4 linked regions of the Arabidopsis thaliana genome follow. The protein of the gene in region 3 interacts with the protein of the main gene of each other region in a biochemical or structural test. Each region holds a gene or a part of one and is shown on either strand. Other genes may lie near its edges. The genes, in order: RCE1, SHY2, TIR1 and IAA28.

Region 1 (5,249 bases), on a different chromosome or scaffold from region 3:
GTTTTTCTTATTGTTATCTAAATTTAGAATTCAAGTTTTTAATTCAGGTTTTGTAAAATTGTGTTTTTGTTTCTTTGGAATTTTATAAAAATTTTCAAACTTGTATTTGTTTTTAAAAATAAAATATATAATGATAAGAAATCTAACCAAATTTTGGATATAGTTTCAGTCGTTAGAGATTCCAACCATTTAACTTATTTTTGTTTCTTTGGAATTTTATAAATTTTTTCAAACTTGTATTTGTTTTTAAAAATAAAATATATAATGATAAGAAATCTAACCAAATTTTGGATATAGTTTCAGTCGTTAGAGATTCCAACCATTTAACTTATTTTTCCCATTATTATGTAGAATTAATATTCAGTTTTTACGGATTTTTTAAAAATATCTTTTAAATTATTAATTTTTTTCTTTCTAATTTGTGAAAGCTTTTTTATTGTTTTGTTTTTTCAGAAAAAAAATAAATATATTTCTTCGGATACTAAATTTACATAATATTTTACAAAATTTACATAATTATGTGAAAACTAACCGGATTTTGGATCCAACCTTAGTAGTTAGCGATTGTAAATATTTCAACTTGTTTTTTCTATTATTAATCATTCTAGGTTTTCATTTGTTTTTTCAAAAATAGTTTTAAAATTTTGAGTTTGTGTCTTTTCGGACTTTTAAAATTATTTTTCTTTAATCAAAATACTAAATTGATATAATGATTAAAGACAGGAATTTGGATCTAGCATTAGTCGTTAGGGATTGTAAACATTTGTTTTTTCATATTATTCCTTAGGCCATAGCAAGACTTTTTAAAACAGAATTGAAGCTTTTTTTAAAACCGAATAAATCAAAACGTGTGTACAAAAATATGAATCAAACGTTGAATGAAATCGATTATTTTCTAGATATCAAAATGGAAATCGAATAGGATAGATGTGATTTATATTTTAATCTAAACCTGAAACAAGAATATTGTTTTAGCAAACCCGAACCAAACAAAAAAAAATCCAGTTATGAAGGCTATATTTCAAACAGTATTTCGAATGAAATTTAAACAAATGATTTATAAGGAACCCAAGAAATGACAAAGATCAAACATGTTATACAATTCCTTTTAGTCTCCTTTATCGAATTCTCACGAACTTAAAGTTGACAAGATTTCGATATAAGGAAAGGGTTACTTTAACGCGGAATGTAATTTTACAAGATCAAACAAACAAACGAGGGTCCTTGAGAAAGAGAAGAAATACAATGGCGGACAAAGGGTTTGGTTCTTATCTTTTTCCTTGAAGAAGACAAACCAGAGCTTTGTTAGATACAACGCGGGAAAAAGGTCTGACCGACATATCCACCGGTCATGGCCCTGCGAACATTGGTCTCAAAGAGCTTTGGGTTATCCCTCAAAACTGCTGCAGCATCATGGTTCAAGGGATCTTCAGAATTGGGTTCCTGTGTGAAAAACAATCACTCAGTTCAGAAACCAAATAACACAAAAACCTTTGTTTGATCGAACTGTCCGGTTAATTACCGTGAACAGATGGAAGAGTCCGTAGATAACTGTGTTAATGTTAAGAACAGGTTTCCAATCTTCACGCAAGATGTTCAGGCAAACGTTTCCTTCCAAATCGATATTGGGATGATAAACCTAAACAAGAAAACCAACAAAGAGTTTCTACAACACAAACGATTTTGAAGTAGAAGCTGTAAACTATATAAGGCATGTAAAAGGAGGAGAGGCCTACCTTGGTTTTGCATTTAACTTTTGGAGCTTCATGTGGATACACAGGAGAGACTTGGAATGTGAAAACAAACGTACCATTGCTGTTTATTTGGTAAGAAAGAAACAAATAAGTTTCCAAAAAGTTTTTAAGAGACAAAAACGCAGGTTTCAGTGGGAAAAAAAGCACTACTTAACTGGTAATATCCATCATCAGGTTTAATGGATACTTCAAAGTTCATCAAATCATCTTTGCCATTTGGAAAAGATATTGAACAAGAGCTAGGAAGGTTCAACTCTGATATATCTGCACAGTTCAAAATCGGAAAAAACACCAAAAATTGAAACTTGGAGATGCAAGAACAAAAAAAAGATCAACAAGGCATTTATATACCTTTGTGAAGACGAAGTTCGCCAGCAGATTGCTTCTTAACAGAAGCTCCTCCTCTAGTAGCATTTTGAGCTTGTTCTCTTTGCTTTTCCTTTACTTTAAACAACCCAATCATTGTTTCTGACTTCTCTTAAGAAACTCACACCCACACACACAGCTGTGACAAATCAAAGAATGAATGATTAATTCTATGACAGATCAAAGAAGACCTTAAAAAATCGATCCTTTCGATATATCAAATCACAACTGCAACTAAACTCATATGCCCACTTTTATATTAATCTTGGTAACATAGCTTATTAGACTTTCACACAATAATTGAATCCCAAATCATAAGATCCCTAAAACAAAGCTATAACCAAAATCTCAGAAATGAAAACGCGTTATTACAAGACAAGCTAATCTACTTTAACAGGTTCAAAGATCGAAGACTTTCCTTCCACATAAGTAGAATCAGAAATCTCAAAACAACGACTAGGTCGAAACATCGAAAGTTAAACACCAAGACAATCAAACAAAGAGAATGAAGGAAGAAGAAGAAGAAGCTTACAAGTTGTTAAATTCGTTGCAAAAACACGAAAATCAAAACGAATTACGAGCGAATTAAAAAGGTCGCCGATTGATTAATCTCTCTCTCTCGCCTACCGGATTGTCGTCCTCTGAAGCTAAACGACGAAGAAACAGCAGAGAAATGGTTGCAATAATAATAAACACACAATCGTAGCTTTTTTCTCGACGCTGAATCAGAATAATTCAAAAATCTCGTACCTGTTTGTTGAGTTCCAGCTTGGCCCATTAAAGCCCGTTAGGCCCATTTCAGTTATATCTATCTTCCAACAATAAATTTGGTAGTTTGCGCGCTTTTAATAAGTTAAAACCAAGCAGTTGTCAGAGATCAACGAGCTCGTGTAAAATGTCCACAAGTGGGACTTGTGACCCGTATGCATTTTTTATGCCATTTTTACTAATTTCGTGTAACAAATCTACAAAACAAGATAATCATTAATCACTACGTAATCATCTAAATTCAATGTGTGGTATAGAAAAAAATAACAGATGAGATTTATGTGTTTAAGATTTTGATATTTTACCAAAACAACAATAGTATATATTTGTGGTATAGAATTGAAAATAAAAAGAAAAAAATCTAAAAAACTGACAAGTAATTTATCTGTAATCTAAGCCAGAAAAATATCATCTTTATGCTATAAAAACATTTTCCATGGACTTAAAAACAATAAAACAAAAACAGTGAAAAAAGAAAAAAGATGCTTTTCAATAAAAGTGAAGATCGTCATCTCCACCACTAACAAGGCCCATTCCGTAACACAACCCTATCTGTTACTTCCTAGCTTCTCACTAATGGCCAATCCAATTCTCCATTCATAATTTTGACTCCACTTTCCAAAAAAAACAAAAAAAAATAAATACTAATATAAAAAATTCTCAAATCTAAAATTTCAGATTTCAGAAATCGCCATGGCTTCAGTGACTCTAGGTTCATGGATTGTTGTTCACCACCACAATCATCATCATCCATCTTCAATCCTTACCAAATCCAGATCCAGATCTTGTCCTATAACTCTTACTAAACCCATCTCCTTTCGATCAAAACGCACCGTTTCATCATCTTCTTCAATCGTTTCTTCTTCCGTTGTTACAAAAGAAGACAATCTACGCCAATCTGAACCATCCTCTTTCGATTTCATGTCGTACATCATCACCAAAGCCGAATTAGTCAACAAAGCTTTAGATTCAGCTGTTCCTCTCCGTGAGCCACTCAAGATCCACGAAGCGATGCGTTACTCTCTTCTCGCCGGTGGCAAAAGAGTTAGACCAGTTCTCTGCATCGCTGCTTGTGAACTCGTCGGAGGTGAAGAATCAACCGCTATGCCAGCAGCTTGCGCCGTCGAGATGATTCACACCATGTCGTTGATCCACGACGATCTCCCTTGTATGGATAACGACGATCTCCGCCGTGGAAAACCGACCAACCACAAAGTGTTTGGTGAAGACGTCGCTGTTTTAGCCGGAGACGCGCTTCTCTCTTTCGCTTTCGAGCATTTAGCTTCGGCGACGAGTTCTGATGTTGTTTCTCCGGTGAGAGTGGTTCGAGCCGTTGGAGAATTGGCTAAAGCGATAGGAACAGAAGGGTTAGTGGCGGGTCAAGTCGTGGATATTAGTAGTGAAGGGTTAGATTTAAACGACGTCGGTTTAGAGCATTTGGAGTTTATCCATTTGCATAAAACGGCGGCGTTGCTTGAAGCTTCTGCTGTTTTGGGAGCTATTGTTGGTGGAGGAAGTGATGATGAGATTGAGAGGTTAAGAAAGTTTGCGAGATGTATTGGTTTGTTGTTTCAGGTGGTTGATGATATCTTGGATGTGACGAAATCGTCGAAAGAGTTAGGGAAAACTGCTGGGAAAGATTTGATTGCTGATAAGTTGACGTATCCTAAGATTATGGGTTTGGAGAAATCGAGAGAGTTTGCTGAGAAATTGAATAGAGAGGCTCGTGATCAGCTTTTAGGGTTTGATTCTGATAAGGTTGCTCCTTTGTTGGCTTTGGCTAATTACATTGCCTATAGACAGAACTGATTTGTGTTCGATTCCTTTTGTCGGGAATCATTATTAGATTGGAATTGTAGAAATCTCGGACAGGTTCTCTAGAGTTTGTTGGTGTAATCATCTCTATGTTTTCATGTACTAAAAAATTTGGATAGTAATGGATGAAATATGAAGAGGTTCATGTGTCTGTAATAGAGTCCCTGGTTGGTTTCAGTCTTTTTGAGTATTAAACTCTCTGTTCTTTTGGCTCGTATTTGTAATGATGAACAATGTGTTTTAGGACAGGAACTCTGGTTGGATCTGATAGATTCGCTAGTTCTTGCCTTATTGGTGTTCAGATTAGTTATCCAAAGGTACGGCGTTGTTTTGGGGCGTAAAACCAATCAAGTCAACGGAGCATACAGAGTTTAAGATGGACCGAGGCGAATACAATACATTAATAATTATTACTATATGTTTCTTGAATGGGCCAATCTCATTTGTTGGTTCCCAAATTAAAAAGCCCAATCCAAAAACAGAGTTCCAAAAAGCCCATTTAATTCTGCTTAGTACCATTTTATTCTGCTTATTCGAAGTCTTATT
Region 2 (4,960 bases), on a different chromosome or scaffold from region 3:
GAATATGAAAATGAAGTGTTATATATTGAATGTTAGTATTTTGGTAAGTGATTTCTTTTCTTTTATTGTAGAAGCCATACTCTACTAGGGTTTTAATGCCACCACCACGGTCAAGGTTTGCATCAACATCTCGTCAGTATTCATCTGTGAAGAGGAATGAGATACCTTCCTCCAGCAACACTTCACATAGAAGAAGCCAGTCTTCACATGCTGCCACTAGTTCGCATACAAGTCAGAGTAGCAACTTGAGTTCTAATTCTGATGCTCACAAACCCAAGAGGAAGAGAAGGCCTAAGAAGAAGAAGCTACAGGTGAGTTTTCTCTCGACTCTTTCCTGGAATTCTGTTTCGTACTTTTGTTGAAAGTCTTATTGGTACATTTGCATCAATCTTTCAAACTCTATAACTAAAGAATCTGCATTTTACAAGCTGATTATATATTATTCGTTTTGCTGTTTCAGGCGTGAACAAGGTCTCTCCCGCCATGTCTGAGAAAACGAAGAAGCTCGTAACACAGTTCATCAATTCCAAAAGCTTCACTCATTACTACGGCCTGTCTAGTCTTACATCTTCTGATTGGATCTAATGCGTATATATATGTTGCCATGAAAGCAGAGAGGTAGGTGTCTGTTGTTTTTGGCTGATGAAATGAACCCTAAGCTTTGGGCAAAACGTATTTCTCATATAAGATAAGTTTTTTTTTTGTTTCTATTGATTTATGTTCATGTTGGCTTTGATCGAATTGTATTAATTAATGGGAGTAATCCAACCTCGACCATCAATAATATGATCTAAGAACTAGTGAACCAAAATAGAAAATGGGTATTGCTTGAAAATCTCTTTGATCAATGAGAACGCAAAACAGAATTGCTACAAATATAAAAACAACTCTTCAATCTTCATAACACTTTAATTAATGTAATACACATAACCAAAGATTTAAGGACAACCTTTTGCCCTGTTTCTGAAACAAAATGTAATTAGGTTCCAGTTTCATATGCTTAAGACCATTAAGCATGTTTACATTTGAATTTTACCGATGAGGTAAATAAAGGCTATGAATTGGATTCAATCCAATGAACATAGATCTTGCCCGAGAAACCCGACAACCCAAGCACAGACAGAGATTTCTCTGAACCAAAAGAAACTCTATTTTTCTTCAAGTTCTTTTGTGTCTCTGTTAGATTTCTTGAAGATATATCTCATACACCACAGCCTAAACCTTTGGCTTCTGATCCTTTCATGATCCTTAGTCTCTTGCACGTACATATGAACATCCTGCAACAACAAACAGAACCCATAAGAACACTTACAAAATTGTTGTTTCTGATTTTTGATTTTGTGGAAATTGTTTTCAGACAGGTATATGAAAGAAGACTTACTCCCATGGAACATCACCAATGAGCATCCAATCACCATCTTTGTCTTCATAAGTAGGCACAAAGTCTGAACCTTTATATCCATCTCTCTCAAAGTACTCTCCCACAGAGAATTTGAACATCACTTCTAAAGCTTTAAGCAACTCTGAGTATCCTTTGTAACAACTCAGATCTATTTTCCTCAAGTATGGTGCACCATCCATACTTACTTTCACATAGATTCCTTGACCCTCATGCTCAGATTCATTCTTCTTACTCTGAATGTTGTTCTTCCTGTAAGATCTAACTGGTGGCCATCCAACAATCTGAGCCCTGCAAAAAGGAAGAAACACGGTCAATCAACTGAATTCTCCACCACTACAGATTCAGAGACTTTTGTGTGAGTTTAACTTACTTTCGAGGAGGGGATGTTTCAGTTTTCCTTGATGATGATTCAATCTCCTTCTCAGTATCAGTTGATAGTACTCTCTTATTGTTGTTATTACAGCAAGAAACTCTCTCTTTTGCTTCACATACATTATCTGTTCCCGGTAATCCCAGCCTCAGCTCTGTTTCCTTGAGGTTAACAAACTCATCCATTTCTTCAAGAATTGCAGGAGAAGATAAAAAGAAAAGCTTTTGGTTATTATCCTTGAAAGAGAGGAGAGATATAGAGAAGCTGCTGATGATGAAGATGAGAGGCTTCGAGGAAGCTGAGTGTTTTATACAAGTTAAAGGAGAATAAAGATAGATACTGGTAGAGAGAGAAGAAACTGTTTTCTGAATTAAGGACAAAGGAAAAAAAGCTAAGCTTGTCGGTAGCAGTAACAGCAACTTTGAGGCAAAAGTGTGTCCCATCTTCTTGGGGACATTTGTGGGGACACTTTCTTTTTCTCCCATCTGTCCAAACCCAAAAACAAAATATTTTCATCTTTCTTTCTTGTGATAGACGGTCCAGATCAAATCTTCGAATCCCCCACCACATGTGGTATGCCATATGGGCATATCACCTCTCTCTATCTCCCATTAATAACTTATCACAACCAAGAAATTTCGGATCGTAAGCTCATAATCTTTTCTTACCAAGAACAACAACCGAATACATATTTTACTCGTTTTCTCAATAGATGGATGGTTAATTAACTCTATATGTAAAGGTAGCTAGTGTTCAATGTTTGGATTGTGGGTAGTTCAGATTTGATGAGTTTATTGACTTGAGATCATAAGTAATAATTTATGTCTCACATCTTCAAAAAACAGGTACTTTGGGTGTTGAAGAGCCAAAAACAGAGCCTACGTGACAAAATTACTTATTGTTCTTTACTGGGGTTTGTTAAAGCCCACAACTTTTGTCTCTCTGTCTCTAACCTATTAATCATGATCACCACACACACACACACACGTATATATGAATTTGAAATAAAACTGAGCATCACGACAGGACATCTTCCTTAAGGATCAACTAGCACAAGGCTTTAGTTAAATGTCAGTAACATCATAATGGGGTCTTGTAGTTTTGTTTTGGAACCTGAGAGATCTTTAACAGATTCTCGCTGTCTTTGTTTATGTTACAGCGTGGCATTGGTTGTATTCTACTTATATGGAGCTCCTATTGTAGATGTTTACGTCTTTGACATAACCTACTCGAATTGAACCGGATCTAAGTTTTGGCTCCATTTTTTGGTTTTCTCATGCATGGCTTTCGAAATCGAAGTCCGAATCGGTACTATGCAAAGAGTTGTTAAGAACTTATGTTATAACTTTACATTATACGTGTAACAATAATCCTAAAAGAATTTTTTTTTTTTTTTTATCTACATATATACGTACGTAGTGACTTTCAACAAGTACTAACGATTAACGAACATATTTCAACAAAATAAATTCATACAATTAGAGGTGACTGCTAACAGCTACTCAGTACTCATCACGCATTGATTTCTTCTGTACGGTGAGAAACATTCTCTTCTTGGTTCAGTCATAAATTACTAGATTCGTTTTCTTGACAGAACAGGTCATAAGTTTGAATTGAATTAATTGTATTTATACCAAGAAAAACTGATGGGAATATATATATATTTATATCATTATTTGTGAATTGGTCACAATATATAGAAGCATTTGATGACTAATATATGTAATATAAAGTTTGCACACACAAACAAATATAAAGTTTTTCCTAAAAAATTTATTTATAATCCGTCAGTGGAACGTAAGATAAAAAATAAATATAAATTAAATGTTTTGTATTCCCATATATATCTTATCCATAAGGAGTTAAAGACTTTTATTAGGCATGAATATCCGCAGGCTTTTCTCATTCACTATAGTATTATGGCATCATCTTTTATTTTTCTGCACTCATTATATGTCATACTGTAGCATACTTTGCAATTTAATTATATATATAAACGAATTTAGTAACTTATACTGAAAATAAAATGACAATGTCTTAGCTACAACAACTAATCACACAAAAATGATTTGTTTTGGTTTTTTAAAGGATAAATTAGACCATTAAGTAACAATCACGAATTTACTATAGTAGCAGTTAACGCAAAATATTTCATGAAACTTTTTCTAAAATAAAATTTGAAAAATTAATATTTTTCTTTTGTATATACTCTTATATGTCGGATTAAAACCTAATAAATTCCTCCAATATCCATTAGCAATTTAGCCAAAGAAGTGAAGATAATGATGATAATTCGTTCGTAATTGTATTTGCCGACATGATTAATCATAACACATGTCACTCAAATATTTGCTTGCCCTACAGAGCAGTAGAAGATCTCAAGCCACCGTATCAACCGTACACGTGTAACCAATGACAGAAGATGCAGGTCCCACATCTGATCACAGAATCGCTGGTTGATTATAGCACTCTTTATAAAATCTAATCCGAAAGCTAAACCGCGCAAGATTTTTAGCACTTAACCAACGAAATTAGAGTGTACTTATGACTCTTTTGTTGATATAAATGATTTACAATAGAAATCAACACATTGTATAATAATTGGTGTGGTCCAAAGTTTAGAATATTTTCTTTATTAAGTTAGTTAAATTCCTTCGTAGTAGAAATAATGCTTTCCGAAATTTTAACACATTTTCATTTGCAATTGGACCATCTTTATAGGAGTAATTAAATGGGCTGGGCCGCTACATTTTGGAGTTTTATTTTGCTTTGACGGCGTATCTGGACCACTTCAATCTAACCACCACTATTTTTTTCCCATTTTCTTTAACCATAAAGCCAACTTTACAATTTTCTTATCCACATATTACTACTAATCTTTTATTTTACTCAACTTGGGTTCGTAAACCAACCTCGGGGTTTCCTCATTAATTTGAGGGATCTGTTTCTTCTTTTCTTTTTCTTTTTTCTTTTTTAGTTTGCATTAGAAAAACTTCAAATATTAGTCAATGTTTGACACTCTTTAGGTTATTATAGAACGTTAAAAAAAAAAAAAAAACTTTTGCGTCAATATGTGATACAGTGATAGTTTTGAACTTTTGATAAATAATATTATCTTCAAAGTATTTGTATGAGTTTAAAATGTTTTCCTTGTCAAAATATTATGGAATTATTTGGACAAAGAGAAT
Region 3 (6,587 bases):
TTAATAGTTACAAAATTCTTTTTTCTAACTACACTGTCTTGTGTGGATAGTTATTATACAAGAGTTTTTGTTACGAAATTCCCCTGTAAATATTGCAGGAGCTTGCTACGGAATGGGCTTGCGCGATAAACACTCGTGCATTGAGAACTCTACAAAAAATTCTTGTCCTGTCTGTTATGAGGTTTGTTAGAATGGAATCAATTTTGGTTGGTCTTTTCTTCCATATTGTTAGTGATTAAATTCATATTGTTTTTTGGATCAACCTGGCAGTATCTATTTGATTCGGTAAAGGCCGCACATGTGATGAAATGTGGTCATACAATGCATATGGATTGCTTTGAACAAATGATCAATGAAAACCAGTAAATTCTCCATTAATTTTACTCGTTCGTCACAATATCAAAATTGGATTTCTTATGATTAATCACCAATGTTCTCTCTCTCAGGTACCGATGCCCAATTTGTGCCAAGTCAATGGTGGATATGTCTCCTTCGTGGCACCTATTAGATTTCGAGGTAAGAATCAAATTTTTGATTTGGTGAATTTATTGAGGTAAAGACCAACCAACATTCTTTGTACAGATAAGCGCAACAGAGATGCCTGTTGAGTACAAGTTTGAGGTAAATGTCTAAAAATCCAACGTTGTGCCACCTCTTGGTTTGTTTTCCTTGTGCTCATGGTTTTACATCCGCCAAGAAAATGTCTGCAGGTTTCAATTCTCTGCAATGACTGCAACAAGGGGAGTAAAGCTATGTTCCACATTTTGGGACACAAGTGCAGTGATTGCGGTTCATACAACACTCGGAGAATCTCAACGCCACAAGATCCAGTGAGTGAAACAGAGTGATCATTTTCTGAAGCCAACTCTTCTTCATTGAATTTTCCCGTCATTGGTCCAACCATAGAGCGATAGGGCTGTGTTCTGCTTATTTATTTTTGTTCTTGGCCTAAAAACACTTGAAACGGAAAATATCGTACTGTTATATAAATGGTATTACTGTGTTTAGTCATCATGTAAACTGAAAATTTGAAAAAGCTTGTTTTTCATATGAAAAACAACAGTTCAATTACATTGTGTCCTATCACACGTTTGACGATGATGCTATTCCAAGACCTTTACACAGAGCAAGATTCTCTTGTTTCTAATTATGGTGATAAAGAGAGTGTAGGGACCTGAGACGAAACTAGGTGCTGTTCCAAAACCGAAAAGGCTGCAAACAGTTCATTAAGCGGACAAAGGAAATGGCAAAGACAAAGAGAGAGAGAGATAGAAAACATTTAAAAGGATAAAAGAGTCCAAACAAAACAAGTAGAACAGTTACATTTTTGACATTGTCTTTTAAAAAAATCTCTTATCCTCTTAAGAAAAATACCCCACCAGGATCTCTCAGTGTAAGTAGCCAAATAAACATACAACAATCAATAATTCTTACATAAATAAAACAAAGCTCTCTTAGATCTCTCTTTCTCTCTCTCCACTTATTCATTGCTCATGAGCTTGATGGTTATATGAAGCAGCCGAGATTCAAATTATTGGCGACCGAGCTCTCTCATGTTCCTAAACCGGAACACGATTATATGGGATGATGAACAAGGATTAATGAAAAATGTACCTCGTTTCTTTGTCTTATAATCCGTTAGTAGTAATGATTTGCCTGGAAAACCTCATTGTTGAGTCTTGGTCCATGTTCCAGACGAAGCCAGGCATGTCAAATCGAGGACCAGCCACTGTTCGGTATATGAAGACTCTCTCAACAGGGCAGCTCTCTGGTCTCGAGTCCGGTGCACCCCGTTCATCGATGACTTCCACATTCAGCTTTGGCATCTTCTGTCCTAGTAACTTGCAGGCTCCAAAACTCACGGAACAAGAAGACATCCAAAGGGATCGCATTGTCTCCAGCTTTGAAGCATTGGCCAAAAGCGCCTTGTCTCCAAACGGGCAGTCCCTTATCTCTAGTTTCCTCAAGCTATCGCACCCGGACAAAACATGATGCATGCCTAAGTCACTGTCTCCTGCAAATGCCACTGAGAGCATTTCCATCTTCTTGGCATATGTCCCAATGTATTCAAAAACCTTGTCGGTCAAGAGGCCAGATAGAGAGAGGCGACGGAGATCCTTGCAGTGCTCTACTATGGCTCCAAATCCAATATCCAGTGGCTCTAGAGTCAGATAGTCTGGGGCTTTTGGCTCAATGATGCACAAACGGAAGCGAGTCATGTTGGGACGGTTCCTAGCAATGGTTATCAATGCAGCATTGGTCATTTGACGGCAGAAGTAGAGAACCGACTCGAGTTTTGGACAGCCCATGGAGACGGAGACAAGCCCCTGTTCCGTCAATGCCACATTTGGTTCCATGACAAAAGGCTCGGACGGAAACACTCTCAGCTCGCGTAGGTCCTTGCAGGTTGAAGCAAGCACCTCAAGACCAGCATCCTCGATGTAGTCAAGCACCTGTAGTCAATAATAAGTTAGAGCACAGTTACAAAAAGAAAAAGGCTTTAATGCTTATAATTCAGATATATTGCTCTATATCATTCAAATTTTTTAAGAAAACTATGAACATAAGCTTTCTCATACCATACAGTAAAATGACCTATTCCAAATTCATGTGTTAATGTATGTTAAAATGGACTCACCCAGAGGCGCTGCAGTTTAGGGCATTGACAAAGAAGCTTGACAAGATCATAGCTCTGGACTGTTGCATAACTCAGATTCAAAGTTGTAAGCCGACTGCAAACCGAATAAACTGCTGGAAGATAGGCAGGAACAGCATCCCAAAATCCAGATAAGCACCTCAATTCCTTGCACCCAGAGAGCGCTACAGATAAACCAGAGTAAACATCTGGTCGCACTTCTGCAGTGTACCCACCAGTGCCCAATTCCTCCAATTGAGGTGCTCTTTGAAGTAAAGTAGCCAATTTTTCAAGTGGAACAGCTCGGTTAAGCTTGAGAGACTTGAGATTGGGACACCTAGTCACCAGCCTTTCCAGAGCAGAGAAACTGACCTCAGATGCTAAGCAAGATATATTGAGTGATACCAAAGAAGTGTATGTATCTGGGAAATGGCTAAGCCAGTGGCCACTAACGTCGTCAACATCACTCTCTCGTAAGTCAAGCTCTTTCAGATTCCTGCATAAGAAATCACATAATTAGCATCGAGTGACCCACATTATACAACTTCGAGAACATAAACATTGCCTACAATACATGAGCATAATTGTCATTAATTTGTCCAAAGTTGTATTTGATACAATGTAGAAAGATCACTTTGGGAAACTATCTAAGCATAGAACAATAACAAATTACTAAATTTATCACGTGGAAGCAATGTGAGAGATGCTAAAACAGAGCTAAAGCGAGTAAAGAAGGGGAATCCGAAAACAGATCTAAGTTTCCCAACAAGGTAAAAAAAGAAAATTGAAAGTCCCCTACAAAAAGAAAAGTAACACACACAAAGCCAAATTGATTAGATTTCCCACCTCAGGAGATTCACTGAGAGCGAATAATCCAGGAATAAATAGATACACCACCGTTAAATAAGACCCACCAGAAAGAAAAAGAGAGTGGCTATAATAAGAATCTTCAGAAACGTGATTAAAACATATATCTTTTAGATACGCAAAATCTTGACCAAACCAAAAAAAAGCTCACAAAGACCAGAGTAACATCAGCAGGAACAACGCAGCAAAACCTATATGCCCAGATCAAATAACAAGTACATGAATTTGCTATAATTGAGACTTTATGTAGTATAATGAATATACAAATCACACACCAATAAGTTTAATACAAACAAAAGCTTCTTCCTAGAGACACAAGGGAGTCTTCTTGATGAAACAAAAAACATTCAGAAAAAGAATACCTGCAAGTGGCAGCGATAGCAGCGAGACCATCGGTGGAGAAGCCTTCGCAGGAAGAAAGCACAAGAACCTTAAAATTCTTAAAAGACTTGGCTATGAGCTCCAAGCAATCGTCGGTGACCACCATCCTCTTCAGCCTTATCTCTTCAAGCCACGTGTAAGACGAAGACATGGCCTCAATCCATGGATACACGTAACCTCCCCATCCGTCAGGTACCAAATTAAAGTCAGCAAAGTGAGGTTTTCCTTTAAGCTCCACGGATCTCACTTTCGGGAACCTCCTAATCACCGTCGCTGGACTCACGGCGTAGCAGTTCCCGATGAAGACTTTCCTCCTGCACCACCGCTCGATCTCGTACCATGACTTGCACACCAGAGAGACTGAGTTCCTATCCTTATCCAGCTGAATAAACGAGAACACATGCTCTAGTACCTCTTCTGGAAACGACAAGGCTATTCGCTTCTGCATTGCGGCCAAATAACCTCGAGATCTCGATGATCGAACCAGAGGAAGAAGTTGGACAGCGTTCGAAGAAGAGTTGAACAAGTATATATATATAACTCCCAAGGTTAGATCTGAGGCGCCATTAACGGAGATAATCTAGTTTCAAAGGAGAAGCTGAAACAAAGATGAAGAAGATAGATAGAGAGAGAGAGAGAGTGGGAAGAGAAGAGAAAAGGATAGGGGGAAGGAGAAGGAGGTCAAGTTAAAAAAGCCAACCATGGTTGGGTTAAAAGTTAACCGTGGTCAAACATATCCATGTGAGCCTTTTCGGTGATTGTGATTGTCGATTCTGATGATGACACGTGTCTTATAAGCTTCAAATACCAGCCGTCCGATTGAATGAAAGCGGGAGATTATCTTATCGACTGTGCAGAGAAGGGCAGCCGCAGAAAACGGGACGAGATATTGGAGAGGGGGGGTCGGCTTATCGCGGCTTCTATCAAAATAGCGCGAGAAGGAGATCAATGATAGGGTGTGGTAAGGTGTAGGAGAAGAGGGAATCTAATGATACGCGATGCACGGCTGGATATGAGGGGAAGCCCCGTAAATTGCGGGGACCACAACAGAATGTTAAAAAAAATACTAGACTACTAATGATCTGACGGTAACAAAACAATAAAAAAAGAAGCTATTACTGTTATTTATGATGACATCACAACCGTCCAATCATGTTTTGATGTGGAATCTGAGCATCTATCTCCTCCTATTATTAGTTTTGCATGTTCATTTATTTACCCACCACTTGGATTCATAAATAAACCATCAAGACTAATCACAGTTTCATTTTCTATTTTCTAGTAATATATAGTATTGATAAATTTGATTAACTAAAGTGTATCCTTTCTCATAGCATTAAAGTGAAGTAAATAGAGTTGAATGATGAATTAACATAACAAGAATCAGTGTTTTCGTGTGAGATTGGATTAAAACATTATTTGTATGTTTTTGAAGATTGCTGAATAATTTAAATTAAAATTGAAAGGATTGCACAAAAAAGAGTAAATGTGAGGGAAGTATCCAATAATTTAAAGTGAACAACTTTTATGAGTAGAGAAAGAAAAAAAGAGAGAGAAAGAATGGATACTGAAAAATTTGAATAAAGTAGAGAAGAAAGAAAGAAAGAAAGTGCAGCGTCGCATTTTAATCACGACCGTCAGATCTGGGACCCCTTTTTAACAGTGTACGGACATACATACATACACAATCGTGACTTTTAAAATTAATAATTACTTCTTAATTAATTTACCTCGTCTGGGTGTAATAAACGTATAAAAACTACAATTATTTCGGGCTCTGTCGCAAGTACAACGGCTTAGAGGAAAATAAATGGGTATTGAATTGACGAGAATGCCCTTCTTCTCGAAACAGTGTATGATGGGCTTTGCAGAGTCTGAGCATGGAGTTGATAGGTCTGTCCTGCCCTAACTAAAAAAACTTGTCACATTATCAAACTGTTCTATATCATCTTCGTATTACATACCATCCTGACCGTTTATCCACTTAAACTACTATTTAAAATATCGCACCTTTCTAGTTTTCTTTTTGAATGTACTGTTGATTAGTTCTTAAACCAAAAATAAAATCTAAAAATTATAATGACATACATACAAATACGAAGATTTTAAAAAAAAAAAATGTAGCAAGCAAGTGCTCAGAAATTGAGGTAGTAACGAAGAAAGAGATAATTAGGAAAAAACAAAGAGAGGGCTGAGTATAGTCAGATGGGAGAAGTGTGGAGCTGAGTTGTCTTGCACGTAATACGCTTAAGTTTTTTTAAAATTATAAGTTTTAATGTCGTCAGAAAAAGGGATTAACTTACACTGATATAATAAGAGGTCATTGATTATGAATTTTTTAAGGAAATGATTAGAATAATAATCCCACGCATGGCTCCCCCGCGAATCTCTCTTATTTCTTTCTCCTAGTCTCGGGTTTCGTACTCAAAACTAGCTTGCTCTTTGCTGTCTATTATCCCTTAATTATCTCCCTAATTATTTTTTTAATTATCTCTTCAGCGATATTAGATCCAACTCTGAATGAATTATAAATTGTGTACCTAAAAGCCGAGAATATTACAGACTGCATTATACTACTACTGTTTATGTGAGATAGAAATATGTGTACGCATGTGTGGACGGACATATATAAAAGAATAACATAGTACTATAGTATTTACATAATACTACTGTTTATATATAAGATAGATGATGAGTGATATAT
Region 4 (5,148 bases), on a different chromosome or scaffold from region 3:
AGAAAGTTGTGAGACACAAAATTTATAGGAGAATTTTTAAATTTTAAATTTTATTTACTAATTTTAAATTCATTATTTCTTTTAAAATAATGTTTTTTTACCTATCTCGACATAATTGAGTTTTTCTTTGGATCATCAATTAGTAGAGGTAATCGGACCATTTTCCAAGTTGGATTAACGGGTCAGCGAATGTTCAACCTCTGATAGACTGATACTATGTTAAGTTTCATAGATTACTAATTCCAAAACCAATTGACAATAAGTAAAAACTCATATAAATATATATATATATATATATATATATATATATTTATATTAATGAAGTCTAAAGTCGTTTTCACCATCTGAGTTCGAGTAGTATTAGCCACCAAAATTTAAGTAATTTAACATGGTTTTTCCATACTCCATAATCAATTTTTGGGTGTATGAAATTTTTAAAATTATATGAGTTATAAAAAAATAAAGTATCTTTCTCCCTACTATCTTTACTCTAAATACTATTTTAAGATATTACTCGAGTTAATTACATGTTATACCGAAATAATTCATGAACATAACAAGATTACAGTTCATGAAATAAATGGTTTGTCTTTTGTGAAATAAACAATTGGTACTCATGTGTGTTACAAAACAACAATTTTTTTTGGATGGTGTTATAAAACTCGAACCCACCAAACTTGGATAGCCTCTTGTATCTATTTCTCTATTATTTCGGGTAATCTTTACTCATACATAGTAAACAGGCTCTCTGGATTTTTACCTCTCTGAAAAAAACATAAAATGAGTCGGTTTGATTTCGCTAATTAAATACCATTTTCCCTACTAAAAAACGAAACGAAGGCATGAATCATATCAGGCATTGTAATCAACTTACGTGCTTACACTATTTTTATACACACGATAACATACTAACCCCCGATTTCTTAAACGAACAGCATATTTACAACCAAAACAAGAAATAACATAGCAAGCAAAAACCTAGTACATAAGTGAAAAAGAAAACCAGTAAATCAAAGCCAAACCCCATTAGTTTCCACAAAAATTACATTAAAAACAAACCATCGAACTGATGATTTTGGCCAACCTCTCTCTATTCCTTGCCATGTTTTCTAGCTGTGAAAAAATAAATAAATATATAAGTTAATTTCAAGGCAGTAATTAAGTGATGAGATGTATGAAAAAGTTTCGTAAGAATTGTAATCTTACGTGAGAGTGAGAAGGCGTGGGAGGTCTTTAAAACATGCAACCTCTTTACAGTAGATACAAACATCCTAACAAATAAAGTAAACTATATCATTAATATGTCCAATGATTCAAATTATTATCAGATAAATATCCAAAAATATGACCTTTAAAGGAAAATAATAATCTGATGAGAAATGGCCAAACTCTTTTTAGGAACTCATACTAAAAATATTTGTTAAATTCGACAAAAACAAAAGTAGATAGATATAAAATGAATTTTTGATAAAGTAAGTTCATATTCAGTTCCAGAAAAAAAAATGGAATTAGTTTTGTTTGATTTAAAACTTACTCCCAAGGAACATCCCCGACCAGAACTTTATCTCCTTCAGTGTCTTCGTAGACCAAAGTGTATTGTCTGTTTAGATCCCACGAATCTTTCTTAGAGAAGAGTTGGTCAACGGCATGTGAAAGCTGTTGGTAGTTGTTATAAGCTGAAAGGTTGACTTTTCTTCCTATTGGAACTCCTTCCATGTTGATCTTAACGTACAATTCCTTCTCTTCATCACTCTCCTTCTTCTTCATCTCCTCCTTTAGTTGTGCCGTTAGGTTTCTCCGGGATGATCTCACCGGCGGCCATCCCACCACTGGAGCTACCTCAACCCTGTTTTAGCCATATCTAGTTATAACATATACACAAATACTTTTTGATAACTAGATACCGAAACCCAAACTAATCTCCGAAAACTGTAGAATTACCAGGATTTTGTTTTTTATTTTTATTTTATTATCATATAAGACATCTACAATGAACAAGAATGATTCAAATCATTCATGAGAAGAGATTAAGAGAACCTGTTATTGGAAAGGAATGATGTTTCTTTGGTCGAGCTTTTTTGTTTAGATCCATTGATGTTGTTGTTGGAAGTGAATTGGTGACAAGGAGGAGCTAGCCTTAGCTCCAATCTCTTTTCTTCTTCCATTTTTCTAAGTTTGTGTTGTGTTTTTGGTGTTGGGGAGTATTATTATATGGGTGGTTGGCAAGGAACTACAATCCCAATCTTTTTATAAAAGTAGTCTCTTTATATTTTCTAATGAAAAGAGATTTTATTTTGAATTAATAACCACCTAACAGATCCTACTTGTATGGTTTCCGTATGTCAAAAATGCGTTTACATACGTGTATGATTCTACGAATGTGATGCGGATTGATGGGAGACACACATATATTATTTACAACGATTACTATTATATAAAGAGAATAAATTTATATGATGATCATTAGAAAAATCCAATAGACTAATTTAGAGTTATAGGTAGGTGGTTATCAAATTAAAAACCCACTTAGAATATATGGTAACATGGTTCATAGCCGTGTGGGGTCTCATACTACCGAATAACTCTGATTAATTACAAAACATATGATTCCAAAAATCTTAGATGTAATCACCAAATTATTACGCTGTCTAGACGTGTCCATTATCATTCTAATTCGATCCAAAAAGATGTGGGTAACCGAAAATTACCAAAGAACTAAAATGCTACCATAGCACCAAAGTCAAAATGAATATCCAACACATACACATAAACCAATTTAAACAAAGAGATATATAAATAACAGTGATTAGTAATACCCCTTTATTAGCTAGTGACATGAATTAAAATCATATTGAAAAATGAAAATGAATGCTATTCTTACTTAGAAAATGAAAACTATAATCATATAAACTATGTACAATTGCTTCTCTTATGCATGACATTTGTAACACATGTATTTTAGAAAATTCATGTATGTCACCGTGACTCATGAGACAAAGAAATGTATCATGCATGGTTGTGTCATCATGTGATCATCAACATAGTCATCATATGATCATCTCCACACCCATTCTTGGAGAGTAGAGGCCGACATAGAAAAGGAAACAAGAAAGAGGAAAGAGATTCCTAGGCATGCTTAAATGAGTACCTACCAATAAAAGGAGTAAAGTAGTAGGTTTTCGTTTACTAACCTTCTTCTGTTTATTTTTATTTGATATATAAGTACTGCAAATATTAATTGTATGTATACTTAGAATTCCACTACAAATTCTCTCTTTTTTCACGAAAAGTCCACTACCAACTTGGTTTTTGTTACTCTAATTTGGCCTCCATAATGTTTGTCCTTTTTTTCAAGTTACATAATCGATTGATTTACGGAAATTGCCAACCCATGAAAAGTCATCTTAAACATAATCAAGTATAACTTTAGAAATATATCAAGATGGTTTAAGGATCTTTCAACTCAATCTTAAAAAAACTTAATAGCTATGGCATATAATCAAATAAGCTGTAATTTGATTAGTGAAAATAACTAAAATGGGTCAACGCTCAAAATACTACAAATAAAACTGTTGAAATAGACACATAAAATTTGTGGCTATTTCACAGTTTCTTATAGTTGAATTGGTTTATACTTATCTTGTGTCTTTTGTCTAGAAATTTGTGGCAATCTAGAAATTCTCTTTTGTCTTTTGACCTTTTTTCATGGGTCATCACCTATTTGTTTTATTCTTTTTAACTCGGGGCAAAACAATTTCTTCAGCCGATTTATATTAATTAACCGAGAGTCCGAGACCAATATACCATGACTAATCATCACACTAATAATGACAGAGCTTATAGTGTAATTTTTACTTGATTCTGACCCTGCACATACGTGTATATAAATATAATGGAATACATTTTTAGTTAAAAATATTATAGTGTATAAATTATAATATGCATAGAACAGTGTACAGTGTTAATTATGATAAAATAGCTAACTTTTTTTATTAATTTATATTATTTATATTTTATTTATATTTTGCATGGTAAATATATTGTTAGATTTGTTTGGATTTGCTGAATATATAGAGATATTTGGAAAATCTGTGTATTTTTGTTAGTTTGATGTATATATAAATTGATTGTTTTTGTTTGAAATTTGATCAATTAGATGATATAATGTAAATTTAACTCCGCGGTACACCGTTGGTCGATTTTTTGTAACTAAAAATTCAAATTTTAAGATATAGTTGTTTTGTAAATATTGTTTATTTTGTTTAGTGTTTAAGATTATATAATTATGTTATAGTTATTAATTCTAAGATTTTACTCGTAGATTATCGTCCCGTATTAATATCAACCCAAACTCGTTCCACCATATAACTTCATTCCGTAAAATGAAAATCATTTTGTTATTTTTAAATATTGTTATTCTAATATATATAAAAATCGACGGATCGACATGTGGTACATCTTGGATTAATATATTTAAAAATAATTTGTGATTTACAAATTTATGATATTGTAGTATATAAAACCAATTTTTAGTGTATACCTTTCAATAAGATGTAGTTTTTATAATTAAAGTATAATAGTATTTGGTCTTTATGTTAAATAATAGTATTTGGTTTTTTTATAAACTATTAAATTAGTTGATTTTAGTTAAAAATAAAAAATTAAATTAAGTTATATTTGTTTTGTTTATTGTTTAAGATTGTATAACTATAATCTAGTTTCTTATAATCTAGTGTTGACCCTGAAACAAAAATCCATAAGAATACGCATAGATGGATAGTAATATTAGAAGATAAACATCATTAGAATATGAAGTACTTTACTTATGAATCTCTATATATTGTTTTAAAGAATCGATATTCTAGATTGATTGTGAGGCAATGTGAATGTATGCATAACATTTATAATTATAAGAGATGGATTGTACGGAAAATTAGATTTTAATTTGGATTCAATCTTAGCTTTACTGAATAAACTAATCTGAATTGCGTTTTTTTTCAATCTAAAATTTACTATAATCTCAACAATTTTGGTATTTTTTGATCAAACTTATCCTTATGCATTATCGCAAATATGGTAGTTATTATTGTTCGAATACAATTATTGATCTGTCAAAATAATCATATTACTATTTGTTCTTAAAAAAAA

Evidence for each region.
Region 1: the proteins of TIR1 (region 3) and RCE1 form a complex in vitro, tested with the Arabidopsis thaliana proteins (one study listed by BioGRID).
Region 2: the proteins of TIR1 (region 3) and SHY2 form a complex in vitro, tested with the Arabidopsis thaliana proteins (3 studies listed by BioGRID).
Region 4: the proteins of TIR1 (region 3) and IAA28 form a complex in vitro, tested with the Arabidopsis thaliana proteins (one study listed by BioGRID).

The regions. Positions count from the first base shown.
Region 1 is NC_003075.7:17,339,932-17,345,180, forward strand, and holds RCE1 (RUB1 conjugating enzyme 1), read right to left. Parts: upstream 3,105-5,249; 5' UTR 2,653-3,104; intron 2,260-2,652; 5' UTR 2,218-2,259; coding exon 2,106-2,217; intron 2,019-2,105; coding exon 1,910-2,018; intron 1,816-1,909; coding exon 1,737-1,815; intron 1,640-1,736; coding exon 1,523-1,639; intron 1,444-1,522; coding exon 1,306-1,443; 3' UTR 1,001-1,305; downstream 1-1,000. Other genes in the region: GGPS1 (geranylgeranyl pyrophosphate synthase 1), read left to right, coding at 3,582-4,697. UniProt on the Arabidopsis thaliana protein: Accepts the ubiquitin-like protein NEDD8/RUB1 from the ECR1-AXR1 E1 complex and catalyzes its covalent attachment to other proteins.
Region 2 is NC_003070.9:1,127,363-1,132,322, forward strand, and holds SHY2 (AUX/IAA transcriptional regulator family protein), read right to left. Parts: upstream 2,328-4,960; 5' UTR 2,258-2,327; coding exon 1,773-2,257; intron 1,691-1,772; coding exon 1,382-1,690; exon of another isoform or gene 1,278-1,381; coding exon 1,202-1,277; 3' UTR 787-1,201; downstream 1-786. Other genes in the region: AT1G04230 (rRNA-processing EFG1-like protein (DUF2361)), read left to right, coding at 72-311, 461-466. UniProt on the Arabidopsis thaliana protein: Aux/IAA proteins are short-lived transcriptional factors that function as repressors of early auxin response genes at low auxin concentrations.
Region 3 is NC_003074.8:23,271,851-23,278,437, forward strand, and holds TIR1 (F-box/RNI-like superfamily protein), read right to left. Parts: upstream 4,781-6,587; 5' UTR 4,332-4,780; coding exon 3,865-4,331; intron 3,132-3,864; coding exon 2,639-3,131; intron 2,454-2,638; coding exon 1,629-2,453; 3' UTR 1,215-1,628; downstream 1-1,214. Other genes in the region: AT3G62970 (zinc finger (C3HC4-type RING finger) family protein), read left to right, coding at 99-181, 271-362, 447-516, 583-621, 711-848. UniProt on the Arabidopsis thaliana protein: Auxin receptor that mediates Aux/IAA proteins proteasomal degradation and auxin-regulated transcription.
Region 4 is NC_003076.8:9,030,497-9,035,644, reverse strand, and holds IAA28 (indole-3-acetic acid inducible 28), read right to left. Parts: upstream 2,442-5,148; 5' UTR 2,166-2,441; coding exon 2,038-2,165; intron 1,847-2,037; coding exon 1,535-1,846; intron 1,272-1,534; coding exon 1,207-1,271; intron 1,114-1,206; coding exon 1,091-1,113; 3' UTR 505-1,090; downstream 1-504. UniProt on the Arabidopsis thaliana protein: Aux/IAA proteins are short-lived transcriptional factors that function as repressors of early auxin response genes at low auxin concentrations.